4 linked regions of the Struthio camelus genome follow. The protein of the gene in region 3 interacts with the protein of the main gene of each other region in a pairwise test. Links are inferred from orthologs where the notes say so. Each region holds a gene or a part of one and is shown on either strand. Other genes may lie near its edges.

Region 1 (7,209 bases), on a different chromosome or scaffold from region 3:
GTTGCAGGAGGACACCCTCCTTGGTGGCCACCTCCATGGGCAGAGTGAAGGGGACATGGTGATGGGACACCCTCCTTGGTGGCCACCTCCATGGGCAGAGTGAAAGGGACGTGGTGATGGGACACCCTCCACGGTGGCCACCTCCATGGGCAGAGCGAAGGGGATGTTGCAAGAGGACACCCTCCATGGTGGCCACCTCCATGGGCAGAGCGAAGGGGACATTGCAGCAGGACACCCTCCTTGGTGGCCACCTCCATGGGCAGAGTGAAGGGGATGTTGCAGCAGGACACCCTCCTTGGTGGCCACCTCCATGGGCAGAGTGAAGGGGACATGGTGATTGGACACCCTCCACGGTGGCCACCTCCATGGGCAGAGTGAAGGGGATGTGGTGATGGGACACCCTCCTTGGTGGCCACCTCCATGGGCAGAGCGAAGGGGACATTGCAGCAGGACACCCTCCTTGGTGGCCACCTCCATGGGCAGAGCGAAGGGGACATTGCAGCAGGACACCCTCCTTGGTGGCCACCTCCATGGGCAGAGTGAAGGGGATGTTGCAGCAGGACACCCTCCTTGGTGGCCACCTCCATGGGCAGAGTGAAGGGGATGTGGTGATGGGATACCCTCCTTGGTGGCCACCTCCATGGGCAGAGTGAAGGGGACGTTGCAGCAGGACACCCTCCATGGTGGCCACCTCCATGGGCAGAGTGAAGGGGACATGGTGATGGGACACCCTCCTTGGTGGCCACCTCCATGGGCAGAGTGAAGGGGACATGGTGATGGGACACCCTCCATGGTGGCCACCTCCATGGGCAGAGTGAAGGGGACATTGCAGCAGGACACCCTCCATGGTGGCCACCTCCATGGGCAGAGTGAAGGGGTGTGGTGGCAGGACACCCTCCTTGGTGGCCACCTCCATGGGCAGAGTGAAGGGGATGTGGTGATGGGATACCCTCCTTGGTGGCCACCTCCATGGGCAGAGTGAAGGGGATGTTGCAAGAGGACACCCTCCATGGTGGCCACCTCCATGGGCAGAGCGAAGGGGATGTTGCAAGAGGACACCCTCCATGGTGGCCACCTCCATGGGCAGAGCGAAGGGGACATTGCAGCAGGACACCCTCCTTGGTGGCCACCTCCATGGGCAGAGTGAAGGGGATGTTGCAGCAGGACACCCTCCTTGGTGGCCACCTCCATGGGCAGAGTGAAGGGGATGTGGTGATGGGACACCCTCCATGGTGGCCACCTCCATGGGCAGAGTGAAGGGGATGTGGTGATGGGACACCCTCCATGGTGGCCACCTCTATGGGCAGAGTGAAGGGGATGTGGTGATGGGACACCCTCCACGGTGGCCACCTCCATGGGCAGAGTGAAGGGGATGTTGCAGGAGGACACCCTCCTTGGTGGCCACCTCCATGGGCAGAGTGAAGGGGATGTGGTGATGGGACACCCTCCACGGTGGCCACCTCCATGGGCAGAGTGAAGGGGATGTGGTGATGGGACACCCTCCACGGTGGCCACCTCCATGGGCAGAGTGAAGGGGATGTGGTGATGGGACACCCTCCATGGTGGCCACCTCCATGGGCAAAGTGAAGGCGTCTCGGCCCTGGGACATCCCCGTAGCCAGCCAGGGGAGGGTGGCCAGACCACGGGGACACCTGTAGCACCCGCGGGTCCCTCCAGGTGGGCTTCAACAGCGGCGACGACACCCACTACTACAACGTGCTGGGCTCGCGGACGCCGGCGGTGCTGCACGTGGGGCGCACCTCCAACGTGGGCGTCCCCGGGCGCTGGGTCTTCCGCGTCGACGAGTTCACGGCCACCGAGGGGCCACCACCGGAGACAGCTTGGGACACCCAGGGGACACCCCGGGCCACCGACAGGACGCCCGGGACCACCCAGACGACAGCCAGGGCCACCGAGGAGACATCGGAGGAGGAACCCAGCTACATCTGCGGGTGGTGGGTGGCCTCCGAGCCCGGACGCCTGGGTCCCTTCTCCGGGGCCGAAACCCGGACGCCTGGGCCCCCTGACACCCGCTTTTTGTCCCCCTCCACCCCCTCCCCGCAGACGGTGAAGGCGACTCCACGGGACCCGGCGCCAACCCAACGCGCAATAAAGAGCCGCCGGGCAGCCGGCGGGCGCAGCGACACGCGTGTGCGTGTGCCGGGGCACGGCCGGGGTGGGGGGCACCCTAATACCCGCTCCCCGGGCACCCTAATAACCCCCCTGGGCACCCAATAGCCCCCTGAGCACCCTAATAGCCCACCTGGGCACCCAAATAGCCCCCTGAGCACCCTAATAACCCATCTGAGCACCCTAATAACCCCCCTGAGCACCCTAATAGCCCACCTGGGCACCCAAATAGCCCCCCGGCCACCCTAATAACCCATCTGAGCACCCAAATAGCCCCCCAGACACCCTAATACTCCCCTTGAGCACCCTAATAACTCCCTGAGCACCCTAATATCCCACCTGGGCACCCAAACAGCCCCCCGGGCACCCTAATAGCCCCCTGGGCACCCTAATAACCCCTTTGAGCACCCTAATAACCCATCTGAGCACCCAAAGAGCCCCCCTAATAACCCCCTGAGCACCCTAATATCCCACCTGGGCATCCTAATAGCCCCCTGGGCACCCTAATAGCCCCTCTGAGCAACCTAATAACTCCCTGAGCTCCCTAATATCCCACCTGGGCACCCTAATACCCCCCTGAGCACCTTAATAACCCATCTGAGCACCCCAAAAGCCCCCCAGGCACCCATATAACCCCCTTGAGCACCCTAATAACCCCCTGAGCACCCTAGTAGCCCCCCTGAGCACCCTAATATCCCACCGGGCATCCTAATATTCCCCCTGGGCACCCTAATAGCCCCTCTGAGCACCCAAATAGCCCCCCGGGCACCCTAATAGCCCCCTGAGCACCCTACCCTGGGCACCCTAATAGCCCCCCTAGGCACCCTACTAGCCCCCCTGGGCACCCTAATAGCCCTCTGAGCACCCCAATAACCCCCCTGAGCATCCTAATATCCCCCTGGGCACCCTAATAGCCCCCTGAGCACCCTAATAACCCCCTTGAACACCCCAATAAACCCCCTGGGCACCCTAATAGCCCCCTGAGCACCCTAATAACCCCCTTGAACACCTTAATAAACCCCCTGGGCACCCTAATAGCCCCTCTGGGCACCCAAACATCCCCCTAAGCATCCTAATATCCCTCCAAGCACCCTAATAACCCCCTGGGCACCCAAATACCCGCCATGGGCACCCTAATAGGCCCCCTGAGCACCCGAATAGCCCCTTGGGCACCCAAATATCACCCCCTTGAGCACCCTAATATCCCACCTGAGCACCCTAATATCCCACCTGAGCACGCTAATAACCCCCAAGGCACCCTAATATCCCCCCTGAGCACCCTAATAACCCCTTTGAGCACCCTAATATCCTACTTGGGCACCCTAATATCCCCCCCGAGCACCCTAATAACCCCCCTGAGCACCCAAATAGCCCCCTGAGCACCCAAATAACCCCCTTGAGCACCATAATAACCCATCTGAGCACCCTAATAATCCCCCTGAGCACCCTAATAAGCCATCTGAGCACCCTAATACCCCCTTGAGCACCCTAATAACCCCCCTGAGCACCCAAATAGCCCCCTGAGCACCCAAATAACCCCCTTGAGCACCATAATAACCCATCTGAGCACCCTAATAATCCCCCTGAGCACCCTAATAAGCCATCTGAGCACCCTAATACCCCCTTGAGCACCCTAATAACCCCCCTGAGCACCCAAATAGCCCCCTGAGCACCCAAATAACCCCCTTGAGCACCATAATAACCCATCTGAGCATCCTAATAATCCCCCTGAGCACCCTAATAAGCCATCTGAGCACCCTAATACCCCCTTGAGCACCCTAATAGCCCCTCTGAGCACCCTAATAGCTCCCTGAGCACCCTAATATCCCACCTGGGCACCCTAATAACCCACCTTGAGCACCCAAATAGCCCCCTGAGCACCCTAATATCTCTCTGAGCACCCTAATAAGCCATCTGAGCACCCTAATACCATTGGGCGGGGGAGGGGGGGGGTCCTGACTCCTACCTCCCCCCACGCTGCCCCCCCTCCGCCCCTTCCAGGTGCAAGCCCCGCCCCCTTCCCCGCCTAGGCCCCGCCCCTTTCTCCCCGGCCCTGCCCCCTGCCCCGGGGGGCGTTTGCCTGGCCACGCCCCCTCCCAGGTGCGGCCCCGCCCCCTCGCCTTCCAGCTCGACCGTTGCCGGTGCGGGCAGGTGAGTGGTGGCAGCCCGGACGCCTGGGCCCCTTTTGGAGGGGGGGGGGAGGGGGAGGTTCTGGACGCCTGGGCCCCTTTTTGGGGGTGAGGGGTCCCAGACGCCTGGGCCCCTCTTGAGGAGGGGTCCCCGGACGCCTGGGTCCCTTTTGGGGTCCCCGGACGCCTGGGCCCCTTTTGGGAGTGAGGGGTCCCGGACGCCTGGGCCCCTCTTGAGGAGGGGTCCCCGGACGCCTGGGTCCCTTTTGGGGTCCCCGGACGCCTGGGCCCCTTTTGGGAGTGAGGGGTCCTGGACGCCTGGGCCCCTTTGGGACCGTCCCCGGACGCCTGGGCCCCTTTTTGGGGGTGAGGGGTCCTGGACGCCTGGGCTCTTTTTGGGGTCCCCGGACGCCTGGGCCCCAAGAGGGGAGGGGCGGGGGGGAGGGGACACTAGGCAGGTCCGGGACCCCCCCCCCTCCCTCCTCCCCCAACCCCCACCCCCGAAGGGACCCAGGCGTCCGGGGGCCGGTGGCACCGCCTGGTTCCTGCCTGTCTTATCTGGGGCCAGGCTGTGCCGGGAGAGGGACCCAGGCGTCCGGGAGCAGCCCTGCCTCCCCCCCCATCCCCCCCCTGCCAGACTTGAAGGGGCCCAGGTGTCCGGGTGCCCTCTCAAGGGGCCCAGGCGTCCGGGTGTCCCCCCCCCCCTTTCCAAGGGGCCCAGGTGTCCGGGTGCCCTTTCAAGGGGCCCAGGCGTCCGGGTGTCCCCCCCCCTTTCCAAGGGACCCAGGTGTCCGGGTGTCCCCCCTCTTCCAAGGGGCCCAGGCGTCCGGGTGCCCCTCCAAAGGGACCCAGGCGTCCGGGTGTCCCCCCTTTCCAAGGGGCCCAGGCGTCCGGGTGCCCCCCAAAGGGACCCAGGCGTCCGGGTGTTCCCCCTTTCCAAGGGGCCCAGGTGTCCGGGTGCCCTCTCAAGGGGCCCAGGCGTCCGGGTGTTCCCCCTTTCCAAGGGGCCCAGGTGTCCGGGTGTCCCCCAAAGGGACCCAGGCGTCCGGGTGTCCCCCGCTTTCCAAGGGGCCCAGGTGTCCGGGTGCTCTCTCAAGGGGCCCAGGCGTCCGGGTGTCCCCCAAAGGGACCCAGGCGTCCGGGTGTCCCCTCCTTTCCAAGGGGCCCAGGTGTCCGGGTGTCCCCCCTTTCCAAGGGGCCCAGGTGTCCGGGTGCCCCCCAAAGGGACCCAGGCGTCCGGGTGTCCCCCCCTTTCCAAGGGGCCCAGGTGTCCGGGTGCCCCCCAAAGGGACCCAGGCGTCCGGGTGCCCCCCTCCTCCAAGGGGCCCAGGCGTCCGGGTGCCCCCCCCCGCAAAAGGGACCCAGGCGTCCGGGGATCCCCCTCCCCCCAAGGGGCCCAGGCGTCCGGGTGCCCCCCCCCCCCCGCCCTTCCAAAGGGCCCAGGCGTCCGGGCTGTGACTCACCCTGCCTTGGAGCTAGAAAGGGCTCAGGCATCCGGCCCCACCCAAAAGGGCCCAGGCGTCCGGGCCAAAACCCCACCCAACCCTGGAACTCGGAGGGGCCCAGGCGTCCGGCCCCACCCAAAGGGGCCCAGGTGTCCGGGCTGTAACCCCTGCCCGGGAGCTTCAGGGGACCCAGGCGTCCAGCCCCCCCCCCCCCATGCTCTCCCCAGAAGGGGCCCAGGTGTCCGGGTCTCCCCAACCCCCCACCCCACCCCAAAGGGGCCCAGGTGTCCGGGGACCCCCCCAATATTCCCCCCCCCAAAGGGGCCCAGGTGTCCGGCCCCCCTCCACCCCTAAAGGGGCCCAGGCATCCGGCTCCACCCAAAGGGGCCCAGGCGTCCAGGTCCCCCCCCCGTCACCTCCAGAGGGGCCCAGGCGTCCGGGTCCCCCCCATCACCTCCCGAGGGGCCCAGGCATCCGGGCCCCCCCCCGTAACCCCCCCCACAGGGGCCCAGGCGTCCAGGTCCCCCCCATCACCCCCACAGGGGCCCAGGCATCCGGATCCCCCCACCCGACTCCCCCAAGGGGCCCAGGCGTCCGGCCCCCCCCATATCCCCCCACCCAAAGGGGCCCAGGTGTCCGGGTCCCCCCCCCCCCAAAGGGGCCCAGGCATCTGGCCCCCCCCATCACTTCCCAAGGGGCCCAGGTGTCCGGGTCCCCACCCCACTCCTCCAAGGAGCCCAGGCGTCCGGGTCCCCCCCATCACCTCCCGAGGGGCCCAGGCGTCCGGGTCCCCCCCATCACTTCCCGAGGGGCCCAGGTGTCCCGGTCCCCACCCCACTCCTCCAAGGGGCCCAGGCGTCCAGGTCCCCCCCATCACCTCCCGAGGGGCCCAGGCGTCCGGGTCCCCCCCATCACTTCCCGAGGGGCCCAGGTGTCCCGGTCCCCACCCCACTCCTCCAAGGGGCCCAGGCGTCCGGGTCCCCCCCATCACCTCCCGAGGGGCCCAGGCGTCCGGGTCCCCCCCATCACTTCCCGAGGGGCCCAGGTGTCCCGGTCCCCACCCCACTCCTCCAAGGGGCCCAGGCGTCCGGGTCCCCCCCATCACCTCCCGAGGGGCCCAGGCGTCCGAGTCCCCCCCATCACTTCCCGAGGGGCCCAGGTGTCCCGGTCCCCACCCCACTCCTCCAAGGGGCCCAGGTGTCCGGCCCCCCCATATCCCCCCACCCCAAAGGGGCCCAGGTGTCCGGGTCCCCCCTCATATCCCCCCACCCCAAAGGGGCCCAGGCGTCCAGGTCCCCCCCCATATCCCCCCACCCAAAGGGGCCCAGGTGTCCGGGTCCCCCCCATCACCTCCCGAGGGGCCCAGGCATCCGGATCCCCCCCCCACTCCCCCAAGGGGCCCAGGTGTCCGGCCCCCCCCACCCCACCCCTAAAGGGGCCCAGGCATCCGGCTCCACCCAAAGGGGCCCAGGCGTCCGGGTCCCCCCGTCACCTCCAGAGGGGCC
Region 2 (7,642 bases), on a different chromosome or scaffold from region 3:
CCTAATATCCTCCCGACCACCAGGACAAAGTAATCCCAGGAGAGTTTGGTGAGGCAGCAGACCGAGTAGGTCAAAGAAAAGAGGATGCAGGATTTCTTCCGGCCCAGCCAATCCACCAGGGACGTAGAGACCAGCCCAAAGAGGACACTGGAGGCAAAGCCACACACGTAGATGATGGCAATCTGCCCCTCCAGGAAGCGGTAGTGCTGGTAGAGTTTGTAGAGGTAGGGGCCCTGCAGCCAGTCGGCGGCCAGAGCCAGGAAATACACCTGGTAGTAGTCCCGCTGGAACTGGAGGAAAGCCGGGTTGGTGCACGCGCTACCGGTGAGCTTGGAGCGGCAGGCGGAGAACTCCAAGCCCAAGCATACGGCCAAGAGGACGGCGAAGGCGGCATAGGCGGTGAAGAGCATGGTGCCTCAGAGCGTCACGGGCATCTCTGGGAGAGAGGGCTACCGCGAAGCTCCTGAGAGAGGAGAAGAAAATGCCGTGACATCCGGATGGGAGGTGCACTGTTCTGCAGGAGTGGCCCCGAAGCAACCGCTCTGCTGCTCTGCCCACGCAAGCCGGGACACCTGGGCACCCCAAGGCCGTCCTTCCTCAGCAGCTGATTTTGAACTGTCAGCCCTCAAAGCTCTTGGACCCTGGGTCAGATGCCCATGAGGACACAAGCCGCAGGCAGAGCTGACTCCGGCTGGGAGATGGGAAGGGCTGCGGCAGACGGGAAGGGCTGCATTTACTGCAGAGCCACAGGGTGGAGCGAAGCAGTTACGAAACTCGGTCTGAGAAGCAGGAAAAACTCCACAGGACACTGGTCTGCCAGGTCACAGACTGGTCTCCATAAAGGCAACACCAGAAGTGCCATCACTCAGAAATGGAGAGTGCAAAGCCCATCCTGCGGCTCCTCCGCGATCGCTCGTAGGAGCCTCCTTGTCCCTCTACCTCTGCTCCCCAGTGACAAGCCGATCCGCAGAGGCGGAGGAAAGGACAGCTCCACCTCCAGCCAAGCCTCAACCCTCCACCCCATTGTACACTAATTTCTGCCTCTCTGCCAGGAGGTGAAGCTACAGTCCCCATCCGCAGCGTTCCCCACAGTGACCTGCCATCCCAGCCTGTCCCTTGGGGCTCGGCTGTGGCTCATCCCATGGCGCCAGCCCCATCCTGCTCCCATCTGCGCCGTGAGCACAAGCCCTAGAAGAAGCGGTCCGCAGTGAGAACAAGGCCGTTGGCAGCACAGTTGGTTTCAGACTCTTTGATGACTCTCCTGTGCCTACCCAGAAAGCCAAGGGGTTCAGGGCAAATTGCAAACAGAAAAGCTGTTTAATAGCAGGAAAAATAAAGTCACATCCTGTTTTATTTGCATTCTATGGGGATGGGATAGTCCTCAGGGTAAGAAAAAGCACGTGATATGCCGGGAGGACTGACGAGATCCAGGATCTGTCTGTCAAGGGTTTGGCTTCACTCCTAAACCAAGTGTTTGAACAGAAGTGCTAAAACAGCCTAAGAAAAAAATCCAAAAAACTAAAACCTCTGGTTTCCCAGTTGTATTATGTCCAGAGCCTGCCTGTCCCCAGGCACTACAGAGGCTGTCCCCTGCTCCTGTCCCTAATCCTCATTTCCAGCCTGCCCCTCACATCTTCCTCGCTGCTGCCTTGCAGCCGAATCTTTCCAGGTGACTTAAAAAAAAAAAAAATAAAATAAGGCGAACAGGTCTGTGTAGTCGCAGGGCAGGGCTGGGCAGGCAGCCAGGGCCACCACCGTCTCACCCTGTCACCTGTCCCCAGCTCACCTGGGTGGTCTCTGCTCCAGGGGAAGCCCCGCAGCATCCGGACAGTCCTATGGGTTGCAACCAGCTCCCGGAGATGCCAGGCCCCCGCCGTGAGCCGCTGTCCTGCCAGAGCGGACGTCCCCCTGATCCCGGGGCGTGAGAAAACAGGGTGAGGGTCTGTCCCTGCTGCCGGGAGACGGGTGAAGACCGTGAGTGGCCGCAAGTTTTGAGCATGGGCGGCCCCAGGCAAAGCCACCGAGCCCACGGCAGCTCCAGCCCCTGCAGCCCCTGGGGCAGCTCGTGCCCAAAAGGCACCTCTGGGTTTTTTGTCCCCCCCCCCCAAACTTGGCCCCATGTCACTCTTCTGCCCCTGGCAGCCCCCTCCCCACACCCTACCTAAGGCCCCCCAAGTCATCCCCCCCCCACTGCCCTATACATCCCCACAGCCCCCCGGATCTATACGTCCCCACTGCACAGACCCCACAGCCCCTGTTCTGTATGTCTCCACTGACCCCACGGCTCCCTCCCAGGCAGCCCCTCCCACAGAGGCCCCCAGCCCCCCTCTCAGTGACCCCCCAGCCCCACAGCCCCCCCTCTCAGTGACCTCTCAGCCCCATCTAACCCTACAGTCCATAGTCCCCTTGAGCCCCTCCCAGGGACCCACAGCCTCCAGCCCCACACAGCTCCATAGGGCCTCTCTCGGTGACCCCACCAGCTGGCCCCACACAGCCCCTTGGGCCCCTGCAGTGTCCCCACTGACTCGGCCCCATACAGCCCCTCATTGACCCCCTCTGGCCCTACACGGCCCCTCACTGACCCCCTCTGGCCCTACACGGCCCCTCACGGAGCCCCCCCCGGCCCCACACGGCACCTCATTGAGCCCCCCAGCCCCACACGGCCCCTCACTGACCCCCTCGGCCCCACATTGACTCCCCCAGCCCCACACGGCCCCTCACTGACCCCCTCGGCCCCACACTCACCCCCCAGCCCCACACGGCCCCTCACTGACCCCCCCGGCCCCACACTCACCCCCCAGCCCCACACGGCCCCTCACTGACCCCCCCTCGGCCCCACACTCACCCCCCAGCCCCACACGGCCCCTCACTGACCCCCCCCGGCCCCACACTCACCCCCCGGCCCCACACGGCCCCTCACTGACCCCCCGGCCCCACACTCACCCCCCGACCCCACCTGCCCCTCAGCGGGGGGAGAGGCCGCGCGCTCCCGGCGCCCGCGCGCACCCGCTTCCGCTTCCGCGTCGCCGCGGCCGGAGCCGCCGCGGCCGCCGCCATCTTGGCAGGCGTCACGTGACGCGGGCCCTGCGCTCGCCCCGCCCGCCCGGCCTGACCTCTCCCCTATGCCCCCCCCCCCCAAAATAACGGAGCCTTCCCCCCAAAATAACAGGCCACCCACCCACCCCCTGGTGGGGGGAGACGGGGATGAGACACCAGCCATCGCCATGGTGCTGCGCCCCCCCCACCGTTGCCATGGCGACCGTGGGGGCTGCAGGGGGCCAGGCCGAAGCCTGTCATGGCGGCCGGGGGGCCGGGGGGCCGCCGGGGGGGCCGCAGGGCAGTCACGGTGCAGCCATGGGGCAGCTGCGGGGCTGATGGGCGCTGTGGCAGGGCTGTGGGGTGGCTGTGGGGGCTGTGGGGCAGCCGCAAGGGTCGTGGGGGCCGCAGGGTGGCCGTGGGGCGGCTGGGGGGGGCTGGGGGGGCCACCAGGCAGCCATGGGGGGCACAGGGCAGCCGTGAGGCAGCCATGGGGGCCGCAGGGTGGCCGTGCGGCAGCTGCGAGGGCCGTGGGGGGGCTGTGGAGGCCGTGGGGCAGCCATGGGGCAGCTGCAAGGGCTCTAGGGCAGCTGTGGGGGTTGCAGGGTGGCCGTAGGGCAGCTGCGAGGGCCGTGGGGGGGCTGTGGAGGCCGTGGGGCAGCCATGGGGCAGCTGCAAGGGCTCTAGGGCAGCTGTGGGGGTTGCAGGGTGGCCGTAGGGCAGCTGCGAGGGCCGTGGGGGGGCTGTGGAGGCCGTGGGGCAGCCATGGGGCAGCTGCAAGGGCTCTAGGGCAGCTGTGGGGGTTGCAGGGTGGCCGTAGGGCAGCTGCGAGGGCCGTGGGGGGGCTGTGGAGGCCGTGGGGCAGCCATGGGGCAGCTGCAAGGGCTCTAGGGCAGCTGTGGGGGTTGCAGGGTGGCTGTAGGGCAGCTGCGAGGGCCGTGGGGTGGCCATGGGGCAGCTGCGAGGGCCGTGGGCAGCCGTGGGGCAGCTGTGAGGGCTGTGGGGCATCTGCCAGGGCTATGGGCAGCCCTGGGGGGTATGGGGCAGCTGTGAGAGGCCGGGGGGCAGTGGCCGGGGGGTGGTGGCCGGGGGCCCTCTCGCGCAGCCGCAGCCCAGCGCTCCGCCACTTTCCGTTTACTATTTCCTTTATTGCACTTCAAGATTAGACAAAAAATAAACCTTTTGCAGCGGTGCCCCAGCCCCAAAGTGCAAAGTTTCGCCCTCCCACCCCCACCCCCTTCCCGGCCCTGATATGTGTCCAGAGGGCCCGGATGCCTGGGTCCCTCAGCCAGCTCGGGGACCTCCCTGCCCCAAACCTGGGCGGGAGGGAGGGAGCGGGAGCCCCGCTTGCTCCAAAAAGCCCCAAAACGGCCCAAATTGGCCTTGGGGCTGAGGCAGGGCAGGCGGGAGGGGAGGGGGACGCACCGCGGGGACGGGGCCATCATCATCGAGGTGCCATCATCCCCGGGGTGCCATCGTCCCTGGGGCACCATCGTCATCGGGGTGCCACCATCGTGAGGGTGCCATCCTCATCAGGGTGCCACCGCCATCGGGGTGCTGTTGCCATCGGGGTGACATGGCCCCTGGGGTGTCCCTGAGGCCACAGGGCATCATCGCCATCAGGGTGTCATTGTCCCCTAGGGTGTCACTGCCATCCGGTGGTGCCATCATCTCCACGGTGTCCCCGAGGGCATGGGGGGCCATCGTTGTTGGGGTACCATCATCCCCAGGATGCCATTGTCATTGGGGTGCCATCGTCACTGGGGTATCCCCAGGTCACCCCCGAGGCCGCAGGGCCTCACCCTCCCCGGAGTGCCATCGTCATCAGGGGCATCCCCATCCCCGGGCCACCCCCAAGGCCACAGGGTGCCCCATCCTTGGCGGCGTTCCCGTCCCCGGGATGTCCCAAGGCTGCAGGCTGCTTCTGTCCCTGGGGTGCCCCCATCCCCAAGGCAGCCCCATCCCTGGGGATGTCCCCGAGGCCATGGGGCGTCCCCATCCCTAGAGTGTCCCCAAGGCTGTGGGGCGTCCCCATCCCCGGGGCATCTGCATCCCTGGAGCATCTCCAACACCACGAGGTGCCACTGTCCCCAGGGTGTCCCCGTCCCTGGCGGTGTCCCCGAGGCCATGGGGCGTCTCCATCTCTGGAGCATCTCCGAGGCTGTGGGGCGTCCCTGTCCCCAGGGCGGCCCTGTCCCTGGGGCATCCTGGAGGCCGTGGGGCATCTCCATCCCTGGAACATCTCCAAGGCCACAGGCTGCTGCTGTCCCTGGGGTGTCTCTGTCCCTGGGGCATCCCCAAGGCTGTGGGGCATTCCCATCTCCAGGACATCCCCATCCCTGGAGCATCTCCAAGGCCACAGTGTGCCGCCGTCCCCATCCTGGGGCACCCCCGAGACCATGGGGCATCCCCATCTTCAGGACATCCCCATCCCTGGAGCATCTCCAAGGCCGTGGGGCATCACTGTCCCCAGGGCATCCTCATCCCCGGAGCATCCCCGAGGCCATGGGGTGTCCCCATCCCCAGAGCATCCCCAAGGTGGTGGGGCGTCCCCATCTCCAGGACATCCCCATCCCCAGGACATCCCCATCCCTGGAGCATCTCCAAGGCCGTGGGGCATCACCGTCCCCAGGGCATCCTCATCCCTGGAGCATCCCCGAGGCCATGGGACGTCCCCATCCCCGGAGCATCCCCGAGGCGGTGGGGGCGTCCCCGTCCCCCCGGGAGGACTGGGGGGGGGGTGGAAGTCCCCGAGGGGGCGCAGCCGTGACCGGGGACTCAGGGCTCGATGGGGAAGGCGAGGAGCTTCTCGGCGTGCTGGCTGTTGAGGCTGCGCAGGTCGGGCAGGCGCAGGAGCAGGCGGGCGAAGAGCCCGGCGTCCTCGGGGCGCCGGCGGGCCAGCAGCGCCCGCAGCGCCCGCAGCAGCGTCTCCTGCAGCGCCTCCACCGCCTCGGCCGCCGCGATGCCCGCCCGCTCTGCGGGGCGCACGACGGGCGTCAGCACCCGCCGCGTCCCGCCGCCCGGCCCCGAAAGCCCCGCCGCCCCGGCCCCGCTCACCCGCCGACAGCAGCACCACGGCCATGAAGAGGGCGAGCTCCTGGGCGTCGAGCGCCAGCGCCGCCAGCTTCTCGCTGAAGTCGAACATGGCGTCGAGGAGGGCGCCCATGCCCAGGGCGCGCAGGCTGCTCAGCGAGTAGGTGTCGCCGCTGAGGAAGGTGAGCGCCTTCTGCGCCGGGTGGAAGAGCGCCGCGAAGCGCACCATCAGCACCTGGGGAGAGGGCCGGCAGCGGCGTGGGTGCCGGGCGCAGGCACGGAGATACGTGCCAGCCCGCCCCGAGCATGCACAGGGCAGGGCTGGGCATGCATATGTGCACACACACACACACGTGTGCACACGCACACCCCCAGCAGCGCTGTGCATGCACACAGGGCAGCGCTGTGCATGCATATGTGCACGCACACACACACGTGTGCACACGCACACCCCCGGCAGCGCTGTGCATGCACACGGGGCAGGGCTGTGCGTGCATATGTGCACACACACACACACGTGTGCACACGCACACCCCCGGCAGCGCTGTGCATGCACACAGGGCAGCGCTGTGCATGCATATGTGCACGCACACACACACGTGTGCACACGCACACCCCCGGCAGCGCTGTGCATGCACACGGGGCAGGGCTGTGCGTGCATATGTGCACGCACACACACACGTGTGCACACGCACACCCCCGGCAGCGCTGTGCATGCACACAGGGCAGCGCTGTGCATGCATATGTGCACACACACACACACGTGTGCACACGCACACCCCCGGCAGCGCTGTGCATGCACACGGGGCAGCGCTGTGCATGCATGTGCACACACACACGTGCGCACACACACACACACACACGCACACCCCCAGCAGCACCGTGCATGCACCCAGGGCAGCGCTGTGCATGCATATGTGCACACACACACACACGTGCGCACACACACACACATGCACACCCCCAGCAGCACCATGCACGCACCCAGGGCAGCGCTGTGCATGCATGTGTGCCCACACACACGTATGCACACACACACATGCGTGTGCACGCCCCCAGGGCAGCGCCACGCGCATACACGCGCGTGCCCCCCGCGCCGGGCTGCCCGCACAGACAGACGCGTGCAGCCCCCCCGAGCCGTGCCCGCCCCGCGGCGCCCGCCGGCCTGCCCGCGCTCACCTGGAAGGTGCCGGCCTTGAGCAGCAGCACCTGGTCGTGCTGGCCCAGGGCCTGGAAGCCCGGGATGCTCTTGGCGAACTCCACCACCTCGGTGACGGCGGGCGTGAAGCAGCGCGAGAAGTCCTGCCAGGCCTGCTGCCGGCTGCCGCCCGCCCCGCACCACGGGCTGCGGTTCAGCGGGCAGGCCTGGGGCCCGCGTCAGCCCCCGCCACCCCTGGGAGCCCGTCCCGAGGGGGTCCGGGGGGGTCTCGGATCCCTGCGTGCCCGTCTCGAAGGGTCTGGGGGGTGGCTGGATCCCTGGGTGCCCATCTCGAGGGGTCCGGGGGGGTCTCGGATCCCTGGGTGCCCATCTCGAGGGGTCCGGGGGGTGGCTGGACCCCTGGGTGCCCGTCCT
Region 3 (7,231 bases):
CTGCTGGCATGTTTAGCTACTCTCCGCCAAGACCCCTGGTTAGTCCATCCCAGGTGCAGGAAATTGCATTTGTCTTTGCTGAATTTCATGAGGCTTCTGTCAGCCCATTCCTCTGGCCTGTCTGGGTCCCTCTGGATGGCAGCTCCCAGACTTGTTCAAACCAATATTTTTTTTTTTTCTTTTTCAAGCACATGGACCTCTTTAAGGATGCATCAACAGATGTGCTGTCATTACTTCGGTTTGTCACACCTTCAAATGAACAATGCAGAGAATCTTTTTTTAAAGGACATGATGATTAGTTAAGAATGCTAGCATTCAAGAAAGGAGAGTAGTTCAGAAGAATGTAATTCTCATCCCAAATGAGCACAGCCTCATCAGTAGGGAATATGAAGGTTCATCCATCCTTTCTTTCTTTCTGCTTCAATTCTGAACAGAAGAAATCTTCCTAAGAAAAAGTTTCATACTGGCATTTTATGGCCAAAATTCCTGTTTGAAGAAAAATACTTGCTGAACAATATCTGGAAATGTTTGTTCATCTTTGAAGCAAAGGCACTGGCAGCCTTTGAGCACTACTGTGCATGGTGATGCTCTGCACAGTTCTGTGTAAGAAGATCTTCTCGAAAGATTTCAAGATCCCATGAGAATTGCTGGATTTAATAGCAAAATGTAACTGTATTCCTTTCCACCATGTTATCATGCAGAACTGGAACAAAGAGGGTGATATATTATGTTCTGGCTCATGTATCATCAACAGATTTGATAGCTGAGCAACAGCTACAGAATCTCTTCTATTTATCATACACAGGAAGACAAGGTATCAGCTTGACTCTCATACTCCAGGGAAGTTTATGGTGCTGGCAATTGGGAAAAAAAACCAAAGCATTTATTTTTCTACTTGTAAGTTGAGCACAACAGTGCCAGAGTCACTGCAACCTAATGAAAGTGGAGACCAGAGCAGGCAACTTTGAGAAGCAGCATTGCAAGCAGAAAGGCCATTGAAATCAGGTAGGAAAGAGCCAGCCTCTTCATGATCAGTGTATACTTTAAAAACACTGTCCTGGCAGGTGGCACCAGATGGCACTCTTACACAAAAGCTTCTTTTTCGCATGGTCTGCTTGCACACAGAAGATATATTCAAACTATAAGGAGGTACCCTGTGTGTTTTAAAGGGGTTCCCTGCCTTCTTATTGCAGTCCATGTTGGACCTATATAAAAGGACTGATGTTACGCCCTATTATTTTCATGTAGGTAAGGGAACGGTCCTGGCATAAAGCACTTCTCTATCAGCACAGCTTCATCCACTTTGGATGTAGATGGAGTTAGGGAAAACACAGAACTCATAACAACAGGTCTTTCAGCTGTGAGCAAACAAGGCCTCACAGTGCGAGCAAGCATTCAGTCTCAGGGTGACTTGCCATCGGCAGTTCTAGAACAAGGCGAGAGTCTGCTGCCTCCCGTAGTCCCCAACTGGCATCAGTCCCTGAGGCACAGCAGCGTCTTGGAAATTAGGAGTTGGTGAGATTTCTGAGAGACAGGATTGGCTGCTGATAATCTCTCTTACAGACCCACTGTGTCTCCACACACCAAGTGTGGTACACTTAACATATATGCAAATTCTGCTTCTCTACTATCTCCTTCATAAGGGAGGCAGCATAAAAGGAAGGGCTTCAGGCTTCTGCTTAGGAAAGCAGAAGAGGATTTATCAGGTGCTTAATGGCTATAGCCCCCCTTTCCCTGCCCCCTGCTCCTGTGTCATAGTGCTGGCATCACCCCTACTCCCATTGCAAGGCTAGTGCTCAGAGATGCTCACAGTGCTGCGCTGAGAGCACAGGAGGTGCCAGTATTGTGGCAAGGGAATAACAAGTCAGGGCTAAAATCTCTCTGCCTGGAAGCTTGGTCTGTGGCAGGCACACTGTCCCGTGGCTGAGGCTGCTCGGAGGCTGGGGGAGCCCCGAGTGCAGGCAGTGCCTCTCTGCCGAGCGTGGGAGGATCCCCCACCTTCACCCCAACCCATCCATGATGTGAGACCCTTCCCCTTCCTCATCAGGGCAGCATCCTCCCTGGTAGAGGGGCAGCAAGATTTGCAGCACAAATTTCCACCAAAGACACAGCTCCCATTGCTCAGGCAGGACAGCAAAGAGCCTAGGGGCAGCGTTCAGGGAGCTGCCGGACTCAGGACTCGCATGACTCCACAGAGAGGCTGGGCAGTTTCCTTAGAGGTGAACAATGCCCCTTTGGTTTCTTGGGACCGGCAATACATTTTTCTCCCAAGTCACTCTTCCCCCTCACTCTTCGCTCCAAAGTAAATCCTCCCAGCTTTAACAGGCGGGAGATGCTTCATCTCCCAAATGCCACTCCGCAAAGAAGTTATAACCACATGAAAACAGAGGCGTTGAGCCGAAAGGTCTCCCGACACCACCCGACCGTGCGTGCCTCCCGCGCTGTCTGAGCCGAGCCGCGGCAGGTTGCGCGCTCCCCCTCGGACCGCACGCCTCTCTCCAAGGCAGGAGTCCTTGAAAAGGGCATGTTAGGAAGAATCGGTCCTCTTCCGGCGGGTGCCTGTGGCGGGCAGCGCCGGGGTACCGCGCTGCAGGATGCCTGCGGGCAGTGGGGCGCGGGGCTGGCCCCGGGAGGCGCTGGCCGTGGGCGGCGGGAGGGCCGGCAGCCCGGGTACCTGCCCGCCGCGCGCCGGGGCGAGCGCGCCCGGTGCGCGCAAGCCCCGGGACAGGCACCCGGGCACACGCCGCCCCGGGAGCCGGCTGCGCCGCGAGAGAGGCGCCGAGCCCCGACGCGTGCCCCGTCCCAGCTGCGGCGGGGCCCGCCGGGACACCCTGCCGGGGCGGCCGCCCCCGCCGGGGGCACCGCGCGGGGGCTGCCGGCGGTCGCCGCCGCCCGCTGCGCCCCTTACCACATTGCTGAGGAAATCCGCCTCGCTGAAGTCGCCGAGGTCGAGGAAGCCGGGGCCGCCGGCGGGGAAGAGCCGCTCGGCGGGGAAGGGCTCCAGGATACTGTCCATGGTGCCCGCGGCGGCGGGGCGGCTCCGCGGCTGGCCGCGCTCCGCCGGCCGGGCTCACTGCGGCGCGGCGCGGGCAGGGCAGGGCACGGTCCCGCCGCCCAGGGGCCGGCGGCGGTCCATGGGGCGGCGGGGCCGCGGCCGGGGGCGCGGCGCCGCCGCGGGAGCGAGCTGCCAGCGGGGGGCCGGGAGCGCCGTGCCGGGCCGGGCCGGGCCGCGCCGGGGTCCCGCTCGGGCCAGCTGTCAGTGGCCGGCTCCGGAGGGGCTCGGCAGGCTGCACCGCCCGGCCGGCCCGGCACGCCCCCGCCTCATGAATAGGGAAGCGGCCGCGGGGCGGGACTTGCCTCGCCGACACCCCCTTAAGGGAGCGCGGCTGCCGCCGGGCAGCACCCTCGGCCGGGCCCGCTCCGCCGCCGGGCGCCGCGCTGCAGCCCCCCCCGCGCCCGGCAGGGCATCCCCCGCCGTGCCCCCAGCGTCTGCCCGCGATGCCCCCGCTCACCCCCCCGCGGGGCCCCGGGAAGGGATCTGGAGTGCAGCGAGGAGCAGGCTGGAGGCAAGGTACCAGCCAGCCTCCTCCTGAGACTCCCCCATCTGCCCCAGGACACCAGTGACTAGTGGTGAGGGGCTGGGTGACCCGCTGCCATGCTCAGAAGGCCCTGGGCCACCAGGACCACCGGGAGGGCAAGACCTGCAGCTGCCCGGGGCTGGCTGGGCCACCAGGCCCTGGGGCTGCCTCGCTGCTCCCCGGACAGCAGCGGGTGCCTGAGGGCAAAACAGATCCCCAGCAGTGTGATTTCAGTTTGGTGAACTGAGCAAACCCTCCCTTTAGCAGATCCAGAGATACCACTGCAAGCTGATAGGCAATGGCGGTCTGTGGCGGCCCCTGAGTATCCCTCAGGGAGCAGAGTCAGAAAAGATGGGTCTTCAGAGAGCTCAGTTCCTAAAGTGCAGCCACAAGCCCTGCAGGGAGATCTTCTTGCCATGGCTCTCAATAACAGGCTTGCAGGTGGGCCTGGCTGCAGCAGCCCATCCGACTGCTCTGTAATTAAGGAGCTTCAGGAAGATTATATGGCTTCAGATAAATAGGATTATGGATCCCTGTCCTCTCAGATCCTTATTCCAACCAACACTCAAGAAAACCACTTATAATAATCCTGTTGAAGAAACTCTGATGTTTTATTAATCTGTTCCTGCCTTCATGGCTCCACGAAGGGTGGCCAAGAGTCCCAACTCCCAGCAGTGGCTTTCTTGATCACAAGCATATGGATTAAAAAAAAAAAGACAACAGTGCATCTCTCCTGGGAGAAATGTAGCTAGAAGTTGCCAACAGTGAGGGTCACTGTGGGGAAATGCAGTTCTGAGGCTTGCTGGGGCCTGTGTCTGAACCAGACGCTAGGTTTCCACTGTGTGGCCCTCATGGGCTCTTGCCATGTTCCACAAAGACCTTAGGACTATCACCACTACCCTAGACACTCCTTGGCTGCTCATCACACTAGCCTCCACGTGCTACCTTCCCCACATAAAAGCCTTTATACTGGTACACACAAAGGGCTCTTTCAGTTACATTTACTTTTACCTTATGTTTCAGTCAAGTGTAAAGAGCCTTCAGGTAAAACGGCCAAAGATATAAATTCGGCCAGGATGGAACTGTGCTGCTGTTTTCACAAAGTCAGTTAATTTCTTACGTATATGAGGGAGGAATGGCATTTGGAAATCATCTTCTAAAGAGAGAAGACACTTGCAGTTTCTGCAAAGCAGTACTTGGATCCTATTGCAATAAAATGCTGGGAACAAAACAAAATACGTCTTCTCTGTGAATAGGATCAATGCAGGCCCTGCTCTCCCATCACTTTGATGGGGCATCATGAGCAACTCACACTCTCACGCTTCTGGAATGGCATAGCCATCGCATCCTGATCCCTCATGCTCCAGTGTACCACAATAACTGTCCAATCACTGCCATTAAACAGATAAAATAATGCTGTTCTCACCGGACTGTTCCTCTTTCCTTAATGGTAAAGAAATAGCTTTGTCAACAAGGGAGCCAGTGGGTATAAAGCTGGAAACATAGAAACCTTTACCACTGTAAGATGAGGAGAAGAAATGGGTCCAGACCCTTCAGAAAGCGGTGAATCTCTATCTCCAAGGAAGGTGACAGACATATTTCCTTAAACTTAACAGTTAGAGGAATTCTCAGTTCTGGTGGGGTAGAAGGACCAAGGACTGCAATAGTAATGGTGTTCCAGATGAGGGTCAAGGTGCTACAACGCTTTGTTGTAGAGCTACAACAGGGGAAGCTTCCACCACCTGTCACTAACCAAACACGGATATCACTTCCGTAACTGCTAAGATTTACCAATGAAATTAAGCGTTTGTGGTTCAGGGCCTCACCCAAGTTAACACAAGGAAGCAGGAGAAGTCAAGGCATACACTGTATTTATCCTCAGTGCAGGCAGAGGAATCTGAGACGGTGAGTTACAGCAACTGTTTGCACTGAATGGGTGGCGGTGTCATCAGAAAAGGTCAAGCAAAGTAAACCTGACTTGTTTGTCTGCATTGTAAAGGGAAAATGCTTTGGCACAGTCCAACAGGAGTTCTGTGAAGTCTGCCCTAAAGATTCAAACATCTCAAAAATATGAAATTGTCTGTTCTGAGACCCTGTTTGTATTTCATATATTTAGTACTGAACATAAATGCCTCAGACTCGGTCTACTGAAGCTGTTGCTGTACCTCTGCAGGTGAGGAATGATTGTAACAAATCTTCCTTTTCAATATCTGCACTGCAAAGCTAGTCTGTCCCATCCTGAAGAACTGTGAAGGGAAACCCCATCTCCAGCACTTTTATGAAGCTTTGCAAGAGACAAGTAACACTCTTCCCACGTTAGACATGAGTGCAGTCCAGTAAAGGCAACACAAGCGTAGTTACCTCTGCGTTCAGTGAGAATCACTGCTGACCCTTTGGAGCCAAAAAGGAGAGTTATTTCTGCAGACTAGCAGTTTTGTATTCCAAAAGAGACCTGAGGATAAAGAAAGTGTTGATGGGGTGAAGGGAGATAACCAGAATTCAGAACGATCTGGTGCACCTCACTGGGGTGTACACACTGAGGGCGAGGAAGGACAGGCCGAGTAGCAGTTCTGTGGAAGAGGCCTGGGAACTATAGGGCTTGCAGCGCTTGAACAAGTGTTAACAGTGTCTGTAGCTGTGAAAAAGCCAAGTGCCATGCTGCGATATAAATGCAGAAACCCTCCTACAAACCTTTAAGACATATAAGAGCTCCCCTTCTGCCCTGCAGAGTAGTGGTGCAAAACACAGTGTTAGCCAGAACATCATATCCCTCTGGGCTTGCACACCTCGAGGAAGGTGGGACTAACGGGGCAGAGTCCAGAGGAGGGCACTGAGAACAACTGGAAGTCTACAAAAAAACCTGAGAGAACTGAGCTTCTTTTGTCTAAAGAGAAGAGTCTCATGCCAGCAGTCTTTAGGCATTCAAACAATTGTGGGAAAGAGGAAGGCAATAATTTCTCTCCATTGCCACAGTGAAGGGGACAAGCAGTAACAGACTCACATCCTAGTAAGGAAACTTCAGAACAGGTCATAGAAAAAAATACCTAATGGCAAAAATAGTGACTAGGTGCCTGGGAGGTGGCAACGTCTCTACCACTGGAGCTTTTTTAAAAGCAAGTTCTGCAGACATCTCTTGGGACATAAATATCGCCGATCAACATCCACCCTTCGGGCAGGGGCTGAATCACATGATCGCTCAAATTCCTTTTCAGCCCTATTTTATCTGATTTTATATTTAGGTTTATTTGCAATCTGATCACAGAAAGATTCTGAAAGAGCAACCAAGTATGTTTAGACTGAACAAGCCCCAAACTGACCACAAAGAGGCCCTCCTGGCTTTGCAGCATTTGATACTGCAAATGCACATATATGACCAAGATCATTGCTGATAATGGAATAATCAACCAAATTTTCATAACAAAAGGATCCTACTCTTCTGTGCTCCGTTCTGCCTTGTCTTGCTGCTGCTGCTTTCCTTTATACCTGTGAAGAGAGAGAGAGTAGGAAATGCAAGTCCCTCATCATATCACTTTGCGCTCACTTTGCCTTCACTCTGCGCTGTGGCGGGCAACGCATACAAGGCAAGGGAACCAGACTCTGAGCTTGAACATGTGCACAGCGATCCAGTCCATTTTGCAGCCCACAAAGCTGAA
Region 4 (7,802 bases), on a different chromosome or scaffold from region 3:
CATAGGTGAGATCTTCAAACAGTCTTGGCAAACGAAGACAACATCTACCAAGGAAAACGCAACCAGGCCATAACAAAAATACACCAGCCACCAGAGCAAAGAGGCGCGTCAATTTTAAGTCAACTAATGATTAGCCAGCCCAATGGAAACAGGTCAATCATTGCTCTAAGCAAACAGATTACCTGAAATCTGAGCAGTACTGGTAGTGAAAGGAGAGATCTTTAAGGGTGCAGAGAAGCCAATGTAAGTTAGTGGTGATGACATTAAAGCTGTTCTTTCTGGAGTTTGTTAGAACATCTCCTCAGGGAACAAGTGGCATTCTGTTTTGTGTTCTGACGGTCATCGTGCTGAGTTTTACGCATCAACTCCAAGTACAATTCAGTGTCTGTTCTGTATAAAAAGTTGTTTTGCTTTAGAGATTAACAATTCCCTTTAGACAGTCTCCATTAAAGAGTCTATCCAGAATGAAGAAAAAATAAGTACTTAGTGGGTTCTTTTCAGTGCTTTGGGTTGTTCTTTTTAACCTTATTATTTCACCACCAGAGAGTAAATTAAAATTCATGGCCAATAGTATTTGAAATTAATATTTTTACATTTATTCCTAGTCAGAAAAGTACTTTTCAATCAATTACAGAATCCCTTTTATCAATAAAGTCACTTACAAAAGGATGCAGCCTCCACAGATATAGTTGCTGGATTTTTTTTTTTTTTTAAATGAAAGCTAGTCTAGCCTAACAGCAGACAGTATTTTATTCACTACCAAGTCCCCTGACGCTACCTCGCAACAGAGATCTTTTTAGACTAGCTGGCGGACAAATACAAAAATACCTTGAAGCAGCTCATTTATGAAAAAGCTGGATTAGTATATTCAGTTTGAAGGAATGTGTCTTTGGACAAAAATCCTATTCAGCGTAAGAAAACTGTATTTGCTATATAAAAAGCATATGTCGTCATTTGATGACATCAGCTCTGTCAGCCTTGCTTTTTACACAACTTGCATTGCCAGCAGCCAAACGAGATTGGTTGGTATGATTTAGGATTAGACACTGATCAAGAGAGACAGAGGCCCAGTCACGTGCATTTCCAGCTTCGCAACTGCAAGGAACAAGTACTACCTGAGTGACATCACCTGACACTCATTAAAAGTATGATCTCGTGCTAGGTTCGTATGGCATGACACCTAACAGAACAAGCATCTTCTGATAGGATCATAAGGCACTGGTCAATGGTGTATCATAGTCACAGATCAGCTATTGTCTTGTAAGGACGTCTGTCCTTACTTACATACAGCTACATACTTCTCACTGTAAAAGGAAAGCTAATATACACTGAAGGTCAGTGAAGTAGGTAACTCATGTTTATGAATAAGTATTTTTGATCATAAGATGAAGAATAATCATAGCTAAAATACTTTCAATTACTTCAGATTATTGTATAGTTCACAGATTAAGTTACACAGTAAAAATTCATTTTTAAATCTGCACGAATTTTCATCCTGGCAGGATAATTTTCACTGAAGTACAGTACTCTTCACGTTTTTTCTTCACTTCCATTGGGAGGCAAGGTCTGCCAGATGAAAGCTCTTCATGTGTATAGTTCTGGGGCAGGCGTCAGCACTGGCTGCAGACAGCTTTACCACTATGCCACCGAGCTCCCTGGTATTCTTAGTTGTTTATATAAACTATGCTGATGCGGTAATTCCATCAGCTCTTCCAATTCAATTACTTCTAAATTCCCTGAACACAGACAGCATTCCTGCATTTCGCATTGGCACTAGGATTTTAAGTACTGCTTGCGACTCTCCTTGGCTGCATAGCTTCAGTACCATCAAAAAATAATACTCTTGAAATACAGCATGGGAGCAAGGTGAAACAAAACCCACAGTAAAGAGTCACAGGGAAAACAGACTCTCTAGGTAAAGCAGCAGAATAAAAGGAAACTTCTGTTCTCCATAAAAACGCAGCCGCTTTCAGAAGCTTCTGGTTACATTAGTCAGCCCCAGGGCAAAACAGGGAAAATAGCAGCGTATGAAATACAAGCTTTAACTGCTGATTTTAAGTCGGTAGAGAACTGTGCACACGGATTCTAAAGCAGCTCAACGAGATTTTTCTCTCTCTTTCTCCTGCCTTTGAAACTTAGGCTCCCCCAACTTCCACAGCTACCCCGCAGGCAGCTCCAGCGCGTCCCAGCTCCTCCCGCGTCCCGACAGAGGCAGAGGGAGAGCGAGGCACCCAGACGCCCCCCGCGGAGCGGCCCGGCCCGGCCCGGCTCCGGCAGCCCCACAGCAGGAGGGAGGTCACCCTGGCCGACTGGCCGCTGCCCGGGCGGCCGGTAAAAATAGCCGCGCGAGGAGCCTCCCCGGGGCTGCCCTCCTCCACGCCGGCCCCGAGCGCCGCATCCCCGCGCGGGAAGGGTTGACCTTCCCCTTCGCCTTCGCCGTCCCGCCCGCCGCGGGAGGCCCCGGCCCCGCCGTCCTCCCTCCGGCCTCCCTCAGCAGCGGCGGCACCGCCGCCGCCGTTCGCCCCTCAGCGGGGCGCCCCCGCCCTTGCCCGGGGGTCGCGGGGAGCCCCGCGGGGCCGCCTTCCCCGCCGCTCCCTCCCCGCCCGCGGAGCCCCGGCTCCCACCTCCCGCGGCCTCCGCCCCGGCTCACCTCTCCCGGCCGCCGCCGCTGCTGGTGGTGCTGCCGGGGCCAGCGCGCCTCCTTCCCCAAGCCGCCATCTTGGAGACACTCGACTCGCAAATGTCTCCGCCAAAGGGGCCCGGGCTGGCCCCGCCGCCCGACGGGAAATGTAGTGCGCCGAGCCGCGCCGGAACCGCTCCGCGGGCGGGGGCGCCCCGCGCTCGCGGACTACAACCCCCACAACGCCCCGCGCCGCCGCCGCCGCGCGGGGGACGACGGGACGTGTAGTCCCCTCGGCAAGCAAAGGGGCGGCCAAGGCAGTGCGGTCCCCCCCTCCGCCCGGACGCGGCTGCGGGCAGGCAGAGGAACCCCGCGGCCGCCAGCTCTCCCCTTGCCCCCGGCCCCCGGCCCGCCCCACAGGCAACGGGCCCGGCGTGGGAGGAGCGCGACTACAAGTCCCGGCGTGCCCCGCGGCGCCGCCATGAGGACGGCGGCGGCGGTGGCAGCGGCGGGCGGGAGCGGGGGCTGCGGCTGCCGCGCCGGGTGGGCCGCAGCCCCGGCCGCCGCCGCCGCGCCGGGCTCCCACCCGCCGGGCGGCGGGGGCGCGGCCCCCGTGGTGGGGGGACGCGGCTGGGCCTGCCCTGCTCGAGCCCGGGCCCGGCCTGAGAGTCTGGGTCGCCCCTGCGGTTTCAGGCCTCAGGCCGCGGGGCGAGCAGGGCCCGCTCCGGCTTGGCGACAACAAAAGTTACTCCAGCGCCCGAGCGCCGCGTTGTTGTCGCCCTTGACGAGAAACACGCGCCTCGCGCTCCGGCGCGGGGGAGAAATGAAAGGAAACCCCTGCGCTTATCTGCCAGAGCGGGCCCGAACACCCGGGCAAAAAAAGGTGTCGGTTGTGCTTTACCCTCCTCACGCAACCGCTCTGCGTTGCAAGCTGTTGGCCCTGGCGGAAGGGCGGAGGGGAAGGGGAGCGCTGCTCGCCCTCCCGGGGTACCTCCGCGCAGCAGAGTCTTCCTGGGGAAGGGTGCCGGGGGTTTGCTGGGGTGAATCTATCCCCGTTAATTGATTCTGAGAGAGGAAGCAGGGGTGGGGACTTCACCACTGCTGCTTCTCATACCCAGAGGAATAACAGTCGTTTTACACCCAGAAACTTCACTAGAAAAGAAAATGCAGGTTTGCTCCTGCGGCTGCCACAGTACCCAGCGCCTGTTGATCCCGCAGCTGGCCAAAGCTGAAGGATTCGGGGAGGCCTCCCAGGACCCACCCTGTCCTCAGCCTCTGGCGATCCTTCCCCCAGCACAGCACGCTTTCTGGCTCAGACGTCTTTCATGCCTCGCCCAGGACCTGTGCCTAGGTCCTAGGTTGCTGTGTCTGGTGGGATCTGGCCGGCCTCTCCGGAGCACTCTAGCTCTTGGTTTTTCCGTGACTTCTCCAAGGAGAGGAGCTTTTCTCTCAGGAATTTGTTTTCCCGTAACAAACAGCTGCTCCCCTGCTCTGCAGCCTCCCTGGTCCCAGCGGTACACTTTCCTGCCTGCCCGCCGACAGCGCCCAGCGCCGGGGAGCGCGACCAGTCCTCCTCCAGCCCTGTCTCCGATACTCTCTCCTCCCATGCCGTTTCCCATCTCCCGATTGTTTCAGACATCCTTCTCTTGGTGTTGCTCAGGGGACACTAAACCTCCAAGGAGAAGGGGCAGGGAGCACTTCAGTGTCCAGAGCAGGGATGAGCAGGGGAAATGATTGAAAGTGCATTTTAGAAACAAGTGAAGCTGTCTTTGTACTTACCCTTTCTAGAAAATGCCCTTTTTAATAACAGCATCTACAAGCAATGTAATACGACTAAAGAGAGCAAAACTGCGGTTACCTTCATCTTCTTGGGCAGAGCGAGGCTGCGCATCCAAGCTGCTGGGCTCTCCTGCAGCCCTGCTTTCTCAGCCACAGTTTGAGGTTCAGTTCTTTCAGAGGCGCTTAATGGTGCATTTGCATCCTGGCTAGGTCCTGTCGAACAAGAGGTGTTTGGGAAACGCTCCCAGCGCGGCAGAGCGTGCTGCCAAGCAGTGGCATTGCTGGGGCAGGCCGGAGCATCGGACTTTCTGGAATGTGGAATGTAAACAGAGAGCGTTGCTAGCAACAGCCCAGCTTTGTGTTATAACCCAAAGCCACAGCTCCGTGTCTTGGGAGGACCAAAAACCCAAACTCTTGCCTGCTCAAATTGCAACCCAGGGGCCACGCGTCACTTTCGCATTGGGTCAAATCATAGCTGTAAATAAGCCATGCCCCTGCTCCCCCCACCACCCCCAACCCTGAGATTTTCAACTATTGAGGCTCTGCCCTCAACCTCTATGGCTTGCGCCCAGCTTTAGGAAGCAACGTAAGCTCACTGAGCTGGGAGCCCTAGTGATGAGCGCCCAAGCTGTGTTCCCCAGGCTTAGGAGCACAGGGGCCCCAGGAGGGCACTTCCTTGTGTTCTTCTGAGTCACCTGTCCATCTGCCTTGCTCTGGATGAGCACAACAGGGAAAAACTCCCCTTGCCAGCTATTTAAATAGCCTTAATACTTTCCAACATCTTAAACCAATGAACACAAGCATTTAGTGCCACTTCACAAGAGGCTGCATTTGCAGGATTACTCCTGATGATTATTTGGCCCTAACTCTAGAGGGAGGATTGGTTAGTGCAAGCAGGAGAGGATTGGCCAGCAAAGGGGAAGAACCAGCTGGCATCCCACTTGCCCCAAGCTCTACACAGTCATCACTGGGTCAGCCAGCCCTCAACAAGGCCTGAAATAATAATAGTTTCAGCCCATGCCTCCCTATGCATATGCAAGGGGAGCATCTCACACTTGCCTGGGATTTGGCTTGATGGTCCTCTGCAGTGGGAGAGCTGATCTGTGCTGCATGCACAAACATGCAGAGCAGTATGTCTCCCATCTGCCAACTTCTTTTCTCTCACCTTCTCCAAGACACAGATGTGTGTAATAGATATTTTATGAGATTCAGGGCCAGATTTGTTAGAGGATTTGTTTGTTTCTGGGGTGATTTGGCAGGAGCTTGTGAAACAGGCTCTCTGCTGAAGTGACCCAGCCCAGCTGTAATGGAGTTGGGGACGCCCAGAGGTCTCCCTGGTCCTCTGGGCACATCCTCCTGCCTCCCACCACACATGGAGCAGTGAACCACTACAGATCAATTAAGTCACACTTTTTATTGTATTGTATTCCATGCAATATGTTCATGTATGACAGAGGGAGGAATAAAGATAAATGTTAGACAAATAAAAGCAGAAAGGTCATTTGTAACAGGTCCTGAGAAGGAAAGGCACATCGTAACCACTGAATTCAACAGAATGGAAACCTTGGACAGAGGAAGACAACTCTGGAAAGCAGACGAGAAAGGAGGAGTTCAAGTTGGGCGATGTGGAAGCAAGTTTGACAGCAATTTGTATTTCCCCACCTCCCAAAGTCTATAGTTCAAATGGGCTTGGGGACCTCAATATTCAACCAAATCACTTCCACACTCCCATTGCCGGAGAGAGTCCAGGATCCCCAACTCTTCCAGGCTTAGTCAGCACCATGGAGCATCCCCAGGCAGCAGAGGGATCAGAAAGCTCCTTCCTGCACGGAGGAGCGAGGAAAGGGCGGCTGGCAGAGAGGCAGGAGGGATGACTGTCCAATGCCACGGGAGCCCCCAGCCATCTCCCACCTGACAGTGCCAGATCACAGGAGCGTGGAGGACTGCAGCATCGCTGGTGACCTGTGGATATTGCTATTAGCCAATGTTGGAGACCATGGAGAAGGAAAGGCCAAGGTGGAGGACAGATACAGCAGTAAAATGGTTGGCACGGACACTGGCAAACATCTCTGTCAGGTCAGAAACTGAAGGGACTGTAGCACCTCAAAGGGAAGCAGCAGCAAAACCACGTGCTGTGCCTGATTTAAGGCAGTGATTGTCACTTATGATCCAGGGCCAGGAAGCACGAGGTTCCTGCCAAAACAGCACGAAGGGCTCCACAGCTAGGCTTGGACGTGTAGACCCTGCCGATGCAGTGACCACAGCACATCTCTGGTGAGCCATCTTCACGCAGCAGACACAGCATGGCAACGCTGGAAACCGTCACAGTGGAAACTAGCACAAAACCAGGGCCGAGACTTTCAGCACTGGGCACGCGCTATTGCTCCTAAGAGATCTCTTCCAAGTACCCAGCCCTGCTGCACTGCAGATACAGTGGTGTCTTTTTATCTTTGCTTGCAGGAGAAGAGGTGGTTCAGCTTCACTTTGGGACCAAGAGCAGGAACGGTTCTGTCACTACTTGGCTACAACACAGCCAACCTTGCTCCTATAACTAGATGTTGAAGTGTATTTTGCCTGTTGAGGAGCTAGCATTTTGCAGGCTAGATTTCTTCTTGAGCCCCTTCTCTTTAGTTCTCTACCCATGACATTATCCCAGCTCCTCTAAGACATCCCAAAGGCAAAAGCCAGGCTGAAATAGGCAGCAAGAGGGCAGAAACACGAGGCAGAGGCAAGGCCGAAGACCGATGCTTTCTTCTGAGTAGCACAAGCCAGTGGTGGGGCTGCCACCCAGCCCAGCCTCAAGGGTGGGGCATGGGTCCCTCTTGAGATGGGCAGGGGGTTTCACAGCCTGCAGCAGGGCAGGGATGGTGTTTGGGAAGGTTTTACTCAAGCCTGCACACAGTGGGCTGTGTCACATCGGTGGCGGGCAGCCCGTGAGCGAGCCCAGGGCTGGCATCCCCCCAGAGCAGCAGGGCAGGTGGCAGGGGCTTCGTCTCAACCGGGCAGCTGGGAAGAACACACCGGCGTCTCCCTGGCTGAGGCTGCACATGGGTCTCCCATCTCTTACTGATCCAACCGGGAGCAAAGGTTGCAGGAGCTGTTGCCTTTACCTCCGTGGACGTTGCCCTGGGCTCTGGGAGAGGGCCGAGCTGTCTCTTGGCTAGGGCTTCATTCAGTCCATGACACAGATTGCAACTTTTAGTCCCTACTGAGATAAGCTAGATTTGGATTTGGCCTCCAGGTGAAAGGCTCTTTCTCTCTTTCTGCCTGGCTACAGCCCCCTGGCTGAGCTAGCAGCTGCTCAGAGACAGCACGCCAGGAGCACTGCTGACAACATAGTGCTAAATCCCAAGAGCTTGTGAAGATCCCCCAGTGTCTAGCTCGGGCCCTGAAAAACCTGGGC

What was found.
Region 1: the proteins of CREB3L1 (region 3) and FXYD domain-containing ion transport regulator 3-like interact in binary tests that used the Homo sapiens proteins (3 or more experiments, as listed by UniProt). The two-hybrid records come from large-scale screens. The link is inferred for Struthio camelus from reciprocal best matches to the Homo sapiens genes CREB3L1 and FXYD3.
Region 2: the proteins of CREB3L1 (region 3) and MFSD5 interact in binary tests that used the Homo sapiens proteins (3 or more experiments, as listed by UniProt). The two-hybrid records come from large-scale screens. The link is inferred for Struthio camelus from reciprocal best matches to the Homo sapiens genes CREB3L1 and SLC61A1.
Region 4: the proteins of CREB3L1 (region 3) and TMEM11 interact in binary tests that used the Homo sapiens proteins (3 or more experiments, as listed by UniProt). The two-hybrid records come from large-scale screens. The link is inferred for Struthio camelus from reciprocal best matches to the Homo sapiens genes CREB3L1 and TMEM11.

What each region holds. Positions count from the first base shown.
Region 1 is NC_090974.1:266,594-273,802, forward strand, and holds the start of FXYD domain-containing ion transport regulator 3-like, read left to right. Parts: upstream 1-4,198; 5' UTR 4,199-4,281; intron 4,282-7,209. Other genes in the region: sushi, nidogen and EGF-like domain-containing protein 1, read left to right, coding at 1,678-1,955, 2,065-2,065. UniProt on the Homo sapiens protein: Associates with and regulates the activity of the sodium/potassium-transporting ATPase (NKA) which transports Na(+) out of the cell and K(+) into the cell.
Region 2 is NC_090969.1:1,568,294-1,575,935, forward strand, and holds the start of MFSD5 (molybdate-anion transporter), read right to left. Parts: upstream 3,087-7,642; 5' UTR 2,944-3,086; intron 1,952-2,943; 5' UTR 1,787-1,951; intron 1,189-1,786; exon of another isoform or gene 464-1,188; 5' UTR 411-463; coding exon 1-410. Other genes in the region: nuclear receptor subfamily 1 group D member 1-like, read right to left, coding at 5,815-6,011, 6,094-6,304, 7,249-7,434. UniProt on the Homo sapiens protein: Mediates high-affinity intracellular uptake of the rare oligo-element molybdenum.
Region 3 is NC_090946.1:40,126,444-40,133,674, forward strand, and holds the start of CREB3L1 (cyclic AMP-responsive element-binding protein 3-like protein 1), read right to left. Parts: upstream 3,079-7,231; 5' UTR 3,017-3,078; coding exon 2,909-3,016; intron 1-2,908.
Region 4 is NC_090956.1:4,349,931-4,357,732, forward strand, and holds the start of TMEM11 (transmembrane protein 11, mitochondrial), read right to left. Parts: upstream 3,014-7,802; 5' UTR 2,719-3,013; coding exon 2,651-2,718; intron 1-2,650. UniProt on the Homo sapiens protein: Plays a role in mitochondrial morphogenesis.